3 linked regions of the Drosophila melanogaster genome follow. The protein of the gene in region 2 interacts with the protein of the main gene of each other region in a pairwise test. Each region holds a gene or a part of one and is shown on either strand. Other genes may lie near its edges. The genes, in order: CG8314, Ptx1 and Bro.

What was found.
Region 1: the proteins of Ptx1 (region 2) and CG8314 interact in a two-hybrid assay, tested with the Drosophila melanogaster proteins (one large-scale study listed by BioGRID).
Region 3: the proteins of Ptx1 (region 2) and Bro interact in a two-hybrid assay, tested with the Drosophila melanogaster proteins (one large-scale study listed by BioGRID).

The regions. Positions count from the first base shown.
Region 1 is NT_033778.4:15,989,039-15,992,818, reverse strand, and holds CG8314 (uncharacterized protein), read left to right. Parts: upstream 1-1,532; 5' UTR 1,533-1,672; coding exon 1,673-1,960; intron 1,961-2,145; coding exon 2,146-2,367; intron 2,368-2,436; coding exon 2,437-2,649; intron 2,650-2,719; coding exon 2,720-2,878; 3' UTR 2,879-3,136; downstream 3,137-3,780. Other genes in the region: CG8320 (uncharacterized protein), read right to left, coding at 1-41, 107-112; Pex11ab (peroxin 11a/b), read left to right, coding at 547-718, 772-1,325.
Region 2 is NT_033777.3:30,911,105-30,915,826, reverse strand, and holds the start of Ptx1 (Ptx1), read right to left. Parts: upstream 3,074-4,722; 5' UTR 2,243-3,073; intron 1-2,242. UniProt on the Drosophila melanogaster protein: Appears to control physiological cell functions rather than pattern formation during embryogenesis.
Region 3 is NT_037436.4:1,646,267-1,649,247, reverse strand, and holds Bro (brother), read right to left. Parts: upstream 1,380-2,981; 5' UTR 1,344-1,379; coding exon 702-1,343; 3' UTR 636-701; downstream 1-635. Other genes in the region: CG17249 (uncharacterized protein), read left to right, coding at 1,848-2,981. UniProt on the Drosophila melanogaster protein: Regulates the DNA-binding properties of Runt.

The sequences.
Region 1 (3,780 bases), on a different chromosome or scaffold from region 2:
TGCTTGGCGCCCTTCGTGCCTTGTTTACCCTTTTGCTGGGGCTGAAAGTGGACAAGCGGTTTTATGTAATCCTTGAGAGCGTTATCCCTGTGCTAGTTACACTTACAGCCATGGTGGGATTGCAAGTTGTGTGTCAGCTATTTCAAAATCTAAAATCGGACCACTATTTACGTGGCGACGTCTTCAACTGAACAAAACGGTGTTGAAACGACAGTGCTGTGAAACGTGCGCATTACTTATGTTAAGCATGGCCGTAGAGGGAAAGTGATATTAAGGGTAAATATAGCATTTAAAACTGTAATGGAAAGGTACTTAAGCAATTTACTTATTTTAATTTGCTCTTAATATATTATTTACAAATTGTTGCACCCACAATATATTCAATCTACGCCCACGGTGCTGGTTTATTAAAAAAAAAACTTGCCATTCACAGTGAAGCGGCAGAACAGCTGCTGGGCCCTCAGCCTAATAATCGAACTTTGGATTTTGGATTTGGCATAATTTTGATTTTAGCTGTCCAACGAGCTGTGCGGTCACAACATAAATATGGATCAACTGGTGCAGTTGAACAATCAGGCTGGCGGACGGGACAAAATCGCCCGACTTATTCAGTATGCCTCGCGTGCAATGTGGGACTCGCTGGAGTCCGCCAATTCCAATCCAGCGCTTGTGGACAACTTCAAGACGGTTGAATACATCCTGAGCACATTCCGAAAATGTAGGTATTCTAAGGTATTCCACGAGCACGTAGCTAATCTCATTTCAACTCAGTACTCCGCTTTGGTAAGTGCGTTGATGTATTCTACGGCGCTCTGAAGACCATTCACCATCCGGATCTTAACATCCGTGTGACGCTCACCTTAAGCAAGCTGTCACAATCGCTGTTCCTCTTCGCCGATCACTTCCTCTGGCTGGCCAGGACGGGACTGACGGCGGTGAACGCCAAGCGCTGGTCCAACATCGCCAATAAGTACTGGCTCTTCTCGATCATAATGAACTTGTGCCGGGACTTCTACGAGATCCTGAGAGTACTGGACCTGCATCGATCCGGTAGCAAGAGCGGCATTTCGCGCTGCCGCATCCCCGCGAGCATCAACTCGCCGGAGGACTTTAAGCGCCTTGCCCTGCAGTCCTACGTGCTGATGCAGGGACACAAAGACATAGTTGTGGACACGGTGAAGAATGCGTGCGACTTCTTCATTCCGCTGACGGCTCTGGGTTACACAAGTCTCACGCCCCGGACAATTGGACTCCTGGGGGCAATTTCATCGCTGGCTGGACTCTGGGCTCTGCTGGAACCGAGGGCCAAGCTAACGCCTGCATAACACCTGATATTGGAAACTTTGTAGATAAGGGCCTGTATTTCCTTGTATCTATTTTAAGTGTTGTATGTATTGTATTTGTATTTGTGCTCGGATTAAGCTGAATGATAAACAAACGATTTTATTAAACCGTCACCTTGGTTATCCTCACCCTGTCAGCGCCCTTGGGCGAATGGCAAACAGCTGACGCCATATCCGCGGACGCGAATGGCACATTGCTAGTTGTGTTTTCTTGCTTTGCGTTTGCTGTTTATCAAACGCCTTTTGGCTAATGGTCCGCAGTCCGGTGGCGTTATCACGGAATTGACGAGGCCGATGCGTCACATGTGCGTGGGCTGCATCCGGACACCATGAACTACTCGTACTCCGCGCTGTCGCCCGGCGGTAGCGGAGGATTCGGTGGCGTTGACCAGCACAACCGATGTTGCGGAAACAAGGCCTGGTGCGTCAAGGACATCTGCGGCATTGTGTGCGTAATCATGACCTGGCTGCTTATCCTGTTCGCCGAATTCGTGGTCATGCGGCTGATCCTTCTGCCCAGCAACTATACCGTCTTCAGTACCATCAACATGATCATATTCCAGGCACTCGCCTTCCTGGCCTTCGCCTCGCACATACGCACAATGCTCTCGGATCCGGTGAGTTGCTGATGGCCATGCACTTTATACTACCTTATCTATGTATGTAGGCGGCAAAAATGCCTAATAAGCATGAGCTTCGAACAATATTTTTCCTATATTTTCGGTATATGTGTGCAAATAAGATTTATATATTTATTTATAAATTATTATATCTAAATTATCATCTGCTCCATTAACTATAGGGCGCTGTACCGCGCGGAAATGCCACCAAGGAGATGATCGAGCAGATGGGCTACCGCGAGGGTCAGATGTTCTACAAGTGCCCCAAGTGCTGCAGTATCAAGCCGGAACGAGCTCATCACTGTTCCGTCTGCCAGCGCTGCATCCGCAAGATGGATCACCACTGTCCGTGGGTAAATAATTGCGTGGGCGAGAACAATCAAAAGTACTTTGTGCTCTTCACCGTAAGTACATCTCTTTTATCTCTTTCAACCGCCCAGTTAATGCCTCTTCCTTTGGCTGTCGACTTGCAGTTCTATATCGCTTCGATCTCCGTGCACACGCTCTTCCTGGTGCTCACCCAGTTCGCGGAGTGCGTGAAAAACGACTGGCGCACCTGCTCGCCGTACTCTCCGCCGGCCACTATATTCCTGCTGCTTTTTCTCACCTTTGAGGGCCTTATGTTCGGCATATTCACCATCATCATGCTGGCCACTCAGCTGACGGCTATCCTAAACGATCAGACGGTGGGTGCTTTGCTTGCTCTCTCTGCACGGGATTGTATGGCTAACATACTCGCATTCCTCTCTCCAACAGGGCATCGAACAGCTGAAGAAGGAGGAGGCCCGCTGGGCGAAGAAATCGCGCCTCAAGAGCATCCAGTCGGTGTTCGGACGCTTCTCGTTGGCCTGGTTTTCACCATTCACGGAGCCCTCGTGCCGCACAAGATTCAACTCGCACTTCTATTCAGTCTGAGGGATGTGATTGGAATGCGTATTAGCTTAATCGAACAATACTAACCAACTAACAAACGTACAAGGCAACAAGTTGTCGCTACTTGTTGCGCCGCTGAGTGCAATTTTGTATATTGCAATTGCTATTTTTCGATCAATTGTCAACTATATATTTACTACAAATCGTGCATATGTATGTGTGTGTTTAGGCCTAAGCGAAGGAATTAAATATCCATTTCCGTGGCCGGGTGAAGATGTGTACTTACCTGACAGCCCTACTAAATGCCTTGTGTACATTTTGTATTTATTATCAAGTGAGAGTCGCCGTGTCAGAAGACATGCGCCGCATCTCTGATCATCATCAAAAGAGCTTGCTCTTTCTCGGGGCAGCCAAAATTATCCGACATGGACAGGCGAGGCTACTGCTGCTGCTGCTGATCTGTCTGCTCAGTTCAGTTCGGTTCAGTCTGAGAAAAACGATCGGAGATCCAGGAGGTGTCTGCTGGACGTGGTGTGCGCCATTCGAACCGAACGCCGATGCTGTGTTGTACATATTGTTTATATATAGAAAGATAGAACATCACTGTGTTCCCAAAGTGTGAGTGCGAGTGTGTGTGTGCGAGTGTCTGGTGGATTTCAAATTGGAATTGGAAGAGGAATACGTGTATATGCGCTGCACCATCAGCAACAGTTTGAAATAATGCCACAGGCTGAAAATGTGAATATATCCTAATTACACATTTTCCGATTCATTGTGCCCGACGGAATACGCGTAATTACCAGCGGAAAATTTCATTTCAGTGAATCGGAAACGGAAAAATTCAAATTTTTACCGTCGTTTGTGTGCGGCGTTTGTTCTAAATATAAATAATAAAAAAAAAAAAATATATTAAATCGCTTTCGGTTAATGCCGCCTCGAAAATA
Region 2 (4,722 bases):
CTGTGCTAAGGTTAGTCATATCGGGTTCATTGCTACTCAGACATAATTATCGCTTGGCTGGCTACCTGGTAGGCAAATCAACTGGTGGAACCTTTTATCGCCTCAACGGCGAAGGCAAACAGGGAGCTTAACCCAAACACCAGCCGAATGGCAAGTTAACACCAAACACGTCAAGGGGTTAATACCACGGATGCTGGAGCCGGCGGCAAACGGAGTGGTAAACTGGGACTCTTTCAGTTGGCGTCGTAAATCGTATGGCTGGCGGAGCGCACCTGAGGGGATCTGGTGGGGCATATGGGCTGACAACAGCACCACCGAGCCACCGCACCACCGCACCCCCGAACCGCCTACACTGCTATCAGCAGACTGTTGGAGCGGAGATGGCGGGGGCCAGGTGATAACAGCCTTATCGATGTAAAATATTTTCATTTCTGCGAGCATTTCTCCGCTATTATTATTGTTATGATTGCACGTACACTGGGCGCCTTTGGATTTTGGCAATCGAAATTGGGGAAAGCTCGAAGAAGTAGTAGAGCGCCGCACTGACAGTCAGTAGTGCGATAAACTGTGCCATGGGCGTCCAATAAATTCGTTAAAAATAAAAACAGCCCACTGACAGTAGCACGAAAATAGCCATAAACGATCGTAAATCAATTAGCAAAAAGGGAGGGAACACCTCTCCAGGTTCCTAGGCCCCTTTGCCCGATATCGGGCGGGAATGGGCATATACATATATGTACATATACGTTATATATGCGGTCCGCTATCTGAGCTAACGAAACCAAACTAAACGAAACGAAACGTTGCAATAAATGGTTATCTAATCTCAATCACAACAAACTAAAGGCATTCAAAGGCATTCGAAACGAGAACGAATTTCATAAATCTAGCGGCAGCATAAATTCGCAGTTGTGTGTTTAAGTGAATTTAATTAAATTTAATTGGAATGCCTTGGCTTGAGCTGTCACTTTCGATTTCGCTGATAATGCCGCTTGATCTCCACTTGATCCCCAGTGGATTAGTGCGGCTGTAATGTTAAATCCATTTGCGGTTGTTCAACAGCAATAATAATAGGCAGCCTTTCGTGATAAACATAATTTCACTTCAAGCCAATTTATGGGCCACACGATTGGTTAGTTGGTGTGTGTGTGGGTGGGGGGGGGGGGTCAGCCGTTGAAATGAAAAGTTCTGCATTTATTGCCGTGATGGGGATATTTATAATACTGTTATTTGCTCTGTCTTTGCCGCAGTTGTCTCAATTTCTGGCTAAATTATCTGCCGCAGCGTCTAATAAATAATTCGGTTGCCAGTTTGCCATTGTTTCCATTCCATTTCGCCAAAGAATATTCTCCGCTCCATTTCTTGTGTGTTTTTCAGCTTTTGGCTTTTCTGCCTCGTCATTTTATTTCAAAAGTGAGAATTTATTTACATAATGATTCCCTAAGACAAAGAATGCCAGAATTATTTTATGCCACTTTATGGCCGCGAGATCTCGTGTGTTTACGGCCTCTTCGTCGCGAAGGTGCCAAGATTCCGATGTTGTGCCAAGGCTTTCCACATGCTTTCATTTCTATTTAATTTTATTATTTTATTCAAATTCGAGTTTAGCGGCTGCCCGGAGATCCGAGTCCGAGCATTGTGTACTTAGGTTTTTTCCACATCTTGTTTGCTAATTGTTCAGGTGACGTCAATGAGCCAGCGCCGCTTGGCCGGGCTCTCCTCCAATTTTTTTGGCAAAACCCACAGTACTGGCCCAGAAGCCCAGAGGCCCCCTTACGGAATGGCCGAGATCTCTGTTTATGGCGGCAATCCGGATCCGAGTCTCACTCCGCCGTGATTTATGCGCGGCGTGAGAGTCCGCCGTAAACTTAATTCGTTGTCCAACAAGCCGTTTATGGGCTTGCTCTGGGCCCTCAATGGGAACCTCTGCTGATCCTCGCTGGAAAGCTAGGCTGTTTTCCTAGCATCAGCTGAATTGACATTGCTATTAAGGGGCGCTTAAGTTCCTAGCCAGGTGTTTACCGGAAAACTTCTGTTGGCTATTATGACCTAACACATCGTTGTTGCTGATAATAACTTTCGTTTTTAAAAGATCCCTATATAATTCAATTTCTAAAATCTTTGAATTTCTAAATCAAATTTGATTTATAATTTCTTGCTTCGTGCGTTAGCAACTCAAGAATCACTGAGGTCAGTGTAACAAGTTTTAAGTTATGATTAACTTTATGCGACTGCGACTCACCTCTGAATGATGGGAGAGGAATTAAAATTAATCCACTAGGTGGTGGGAACGAACTTCCGTCGGTTCTCTGGTTCTGTCGATCCCGAATATCAAAGGCGAACTTTGATGGAGCAAATGTCGTGGGTCCGTCAATAAATCAGATGGCCAGCATTTCTAATGCCGGAGATCTGGGAAAGTCTCCGAAAATCTTCCGGATATATCGCGTGGGCAGTGGGCTATAAATCTCGGGGAGATCGGTAGGTTTGTGCTGTGTTGTTGCAACAGATTGCTAATCAAATGCGAAGCGGCATTTAATAAAGCCCCAGCCGTTAAACAGTTTTCGCACACGCGGTGTTGACGTCGGCAGATCAAATAATAAAAATCACAGTGATTATGTTAGTGATTAATTTTAAGTAACTCGGGGATATGTTTTTAATCTCGCTGCCGCTTCACAGAAACACACACTCGCGCACACAGTCACTCGCGGCACTCTCAGTGATATGATTTCGATTCGATTTGATTTGATAGGCAAATCCTGGCGGATTTAAGTGTTTAATAGTTTAATCCACGGCGTAATTAGGCTAAGTATCTGCTAGGGTACTCGAATCTCTGTATCTAAATCTGTAGCTCTAGACCTGCAATTACATGTATCTGGTATCACAACGGAGGCGACGCGTCTGCATCCGTAACAGGACGTAGCTGGATTGAAAACGAATTCGGAAAAGTATCTGTTGGATGCGTGTACACTGTACAGCGCATGCAGCGAGTATCTGGCTGGTGGGGTTGTGCGGGGTGGTTGGGCCAGTGCTAACGGTAAACGTGGTGCTGGCGACGAGAACTCGCGGCTACTGAACGCAATACCCCGGAATTTCGCCTTTCGAACGCAAGAGCCCCGTGTATTGCCCGCTATCTTATCTCTCTTTTCTGCCCGTGCACCGGCGAGAGGGTGTGAGGGAGATGGTCTTCTGGCCGACGAGTAGCGAGAGCTGCCTGTGCAGCGGCAGTGCGAAAGGGAGGTCCGATCATTCGAGTGCGTGGAAGACACACCCCCAAAGTCGGCACTCTCTCGCTCTCTCTCACTCAGACCCTGGTGTTTGCAGTGCGCCATTGCTGTGCTCTCCCTCTCTCGCCCACTCTCCCTCTCGCTCTTCATCCGTACATTATTTGGCCGCTCTCGAGGGTTTGATTTGTACTTTCGGGTTTGGCTCTGGTTTGGTCCTTTGTTCCGTTCTCCCCCTTTGAGGACCCCTGGCAGAGCCCTGCCCTCCGCCCCTGGACAATTGCTACGTGCTGTGTTCATAATAATAAGGCTACTTTGCCCACTTTTGAGGGCTGGCTGTCTTTTACTGGGTGTCAAGGGCGTTTTGTTATCCCATTATTCTGCGTTAGCCCGCCATTGTTGTGCCTGTGCCTGTGCCAGTTTAACCCCCCGACCGCCCCTCGCAAATAAATAAATAACTGCTCCTTTTGACGTATCCTTGCGTTTGTATTTGTATCTGTATCTCCTCCCTGGGACTTTCCCCTTTTTGATTTGTTCGCTCTGCCAGCACAGAAATACAGCCACAGAGACAGCGATACTTTCAAAGGAAGCTGAAACTGAAACAGAAACAGAAACAAGCAGCAGGCAGAATTTATTAATATTCACAACAGCTTTTGTGCAGTTCATAATTTTCGTTTTTATTTCGCATTTGCCTGCCTTTCCCTTAGGTTTTATCCTCCTCCTTGAGTGGAAGAATGGGTTTAGCTGGGTCGAAAGGGGGAAGCTGAAGGAAATGGTCCGGGAGACAGCCGACTGATGTAAATGATGCTGGCTTTATAGCCTCGTATTCCGCAACTGACATGCCACGGAACTAATCAGACATAATTTCCAATGGCCATGCGAGTCATAACTCATGACCTCTGGAGATCTCAGGAAGTTTACTGCATTCCATAGTAACAAAATAAATCAATTCGACAAGATGAAGTAGAGAATGGGAATCAGTCTGTCATGTTAAACGTGCTTCATAATATCTAACCCACTTATATATATTTAATAATTGTATATATTTGTAGGATATATTTCATTTTGGCAATCCATGGTGTGATGTTTTTGTTGATTACTGCCACCTCTCAGAACGTGCGACTGGCATAACCCAGATTGCAGATAGACTTGAAATGATAATCGCGCTGAGAGGAGGCCCTCGAAATACTAAAGCCACTCGAGTTGCTCAGACCTTCTCGAGTTTACCGCCTTTGAACTCGCCGTCACACATTTGCCCAGTTACGTAAATGTGGCACAATGTTAGAAGGGCTGGCTGGTACTCCAGCGATCCACCCACTCAGAGGGGAGAATTTCACCTGAGTGACGATGATGCAGTACAATATGATGATAAAGGGTTCTCCACCTGTGGTGCAAGGTCCGACTTTCAGCACCCCGGGGAATTTCTGTTTTACGATGGCGTAATTACACAATGTCCTTTGTGTCCCTTGGCCAAATCCCCGACTTTTATATTGATGACAGG
Region 3 (2,981 bases), on a different chromosome or scaffold from region 2:
GGAAAAATACGCGACCACCAGCAAATTGAGGCACACAATCCGAATGTTTTCAAGTTTTCAAATCGCTGCGGTATGTATAAGTTTATGAATTTTTAGTCCGCGGCGGCGTTCCCTTCACCTATTCCATTTTCACTCGACGCCTTTCCGCTTTCAGTTCGGAAAGAGACTGACTCGGATTCGGATTCAGATTCACATTCAGAGCAGTTGCAAAGTTTATTTCGGCAGCATCCCAAACGGAATGGCGGAAAATCAATACGTGCTCACGGGACCGGTGCTCTGGCCGCATCGAGAGTCAAGAGAGGACAGCCGCAGCCACAGCCGCGACAGGCCCACCCCGGAGAGTGGAGAGCACGGCGGAATGGCGGAACGGCAGCTGGACCCACTTCACCATCCTCGGGCAGTCGGCTCGGGTGGTGGTTGTTCCGAAAGTGGCGCAAATGAGGCCAAAGACCCCGGCTAGCAACCCTTAAGGAGGCCCAGATAAACAATCATTAGGTGAACATGAGTGGCTTTCGCCAAATGAATGACACACAAAACTCGGAAACTCCTTGTGAAATGAGAGTTTTAGTAATTGAGAGCAGATATTACCATTAGTGTATTAAACATAATCTCAGTATTATAAGAGCACGATCAATGGGTTTCAGATATTTATTGTTGATTTACTTAGATGTTACTTAAAGCTATGAGGGTAATATATAGCACTACCATCCCATTGGTCCTCTAGGCAGACCAGGCCCACCTCTGTGATGGTGATCCTCGGGTGGAGTCTGGGGCGTGTGGTAGATTCTCCTGGACTCAGCCATGCGCTGGTTGTAGCTTTGAATCTGCTCCTGCAGCTGAGCATCCTCCTGCTGGGCTCGTTGTTCATCGAACTCCAGGCAGGCAGCGCCATCCAGTCGGTCCAGATCCACCCAGCCCCGGAAGCGGACGCACACCCCGTTCATGATGAAACTAGAACGCAAATGAACTTTGCCCCGCTCCCGCTCGAAATCGCAATCCTGCTCCTGGGCGTACGGATTGTGGTTGGCGTTGAAGTAGAGCTGCAGATTAGTTCCTGAAGCTACCATCGATATCTCCGCATAGCCCTTGCGGCAGTCGTTGACAAACCGCATCCTGCGCTCCTCCATTGCACGTTCCCGGTATCCTGTGTAGCGAACCTCGCTCTCCCTACTCAATCGGCGGAAGAGCTCGTCGCTATCGAACTTGGACCTCTGGTCAGGCACCACGCGGGGCATCTTGAAGATGAATCTGGGCTTGGGCTGCTCGTACATAGCCATGGCTTCGTATGGCGGGATCATTCCATTCATGGCGGCCGCGTCTCCGAGATTCTGGTGATGATGCATGTCTAATGTTATAACTGTATTCTCCGAAAGATATAGTTGTACTGATCAATGTTAAAATTGACCGCCTTATTTAAACAAAAAAAAAAAGTTGTAGAACAGGTAATCGGGAGCGATTGGGCTACCTAACGAATCCCCTAATTGTCGCCTGGTAATCAAGGATGGAAACCATCTGGACACAATAAGGATCAGGTATAGCACTTATAAGTATCCTATTTGAGGTTTGTTTTATAATCCGTAGGGTTTTTACAGCTCCGAATATTATACTTTGAGGATTGCAGGTATAATGCTATCATAAATAAAACGAACGAATTGAACGCACTATATAATTTTAAGTTTAAATTCGAAATTACGTTTTAGCGGTAATTTTAACAGTGTTGGTTAGCACAGCGCTTAAGCAAAGGGAGTTGCCAACCATGGCAGCCCAAGCAGGTGACAACTCTAGAGTCCGGGCACATTAAACAGCTGTTGTGTATTGTATTGTTTAACTTTAGCAATTTTATAAACATGTCGCTTGTTGCTTATGCTGCCAGTTCTGATGAAGATTCGGAGAACGAAGAGGAAAATTCTGTACCACAAGTGGAAGTAATAAAACCCCAAGCCAAGCCGAGCACACCAAGTGAAGCGTATCTAGCTCGGGAATCAACCAGTGGTCACATTAGTGATGAAGATGACGACTACGTTCCCCAGGAAGTGTCCCTTCAGGAGTTAAAGCCGCCCAACGGAAGACTGCTATTAGCCTTACCCAAACCAAAAGTCACTGCTCCCGCTAAGGATCTGGAAAATGAGGATGTGGACAACCAGGTTACTTCCGCCTTTGCCAACCTGCCCATGCCACGAACAGCAGCGAAAGGAAAAGCCATTGTAGAGGAGAAAGACGATGAGTTTCTGCACAAAAAGGCGCTGCCCGTAGAAATAGAGAAACCTCCACCGCCGCCAGTCAAGGGAAAAGTAAAAATCAGCATTCCTTCACTAAGAGATTTCTCAGATGTAGACCAGGAGAAAGCTGACAGGGCTAAGAACAAAGTTGATAAGCCCAATGTACCCAAGGGATCGGGATTGTTGAGTCTGCTGCCCCAAGCAAAGTCGGAGCGCAACTTCTCCAAGAACTCTTCATCCGCGGTAGCCTACCCATCAGCCAGCACTACTCTTGCTTCCAGTCTAAGCAATAATCCTGCGCAGCCTCGAGCAGCACCAGCTTTTGTTCCCGATACAGTTAAGCAGCGACGAGCTGCACACAACACCGAAGGCGTAGATGGCCCTAAGGCCGGGCACAAGAAGAATCCTGAGACAAAAGACGCTTTGAAGTCAACAAAATCCAAACCTATAAGTAAACCCACTTCGCTGGTAAATGCCAGCGATAGTGAAGATGATGACGAAGATGGCACTGGAGACTTTTTCTCCCTGAATTCCGAGCAAAAGCTGCCTGAGGTGAGCAGCAACGAGATTAGCGCTCTAGTGGCCAAGCGAGCGGCCAAGATGGTGGAAGCCAGTAGCAAGTACCTAGAGGAGGTAGCCGAGAAGGAAGCAGCCGAAGCAGAAGCCGCCCGACTTCAGGAAGAGCAGTCTCAGATTGCACAAAAGCGCTACCATGAGCAACAGTTAAACGCAGAGGCCATGGACGCATTGGTGGGCAAAAAT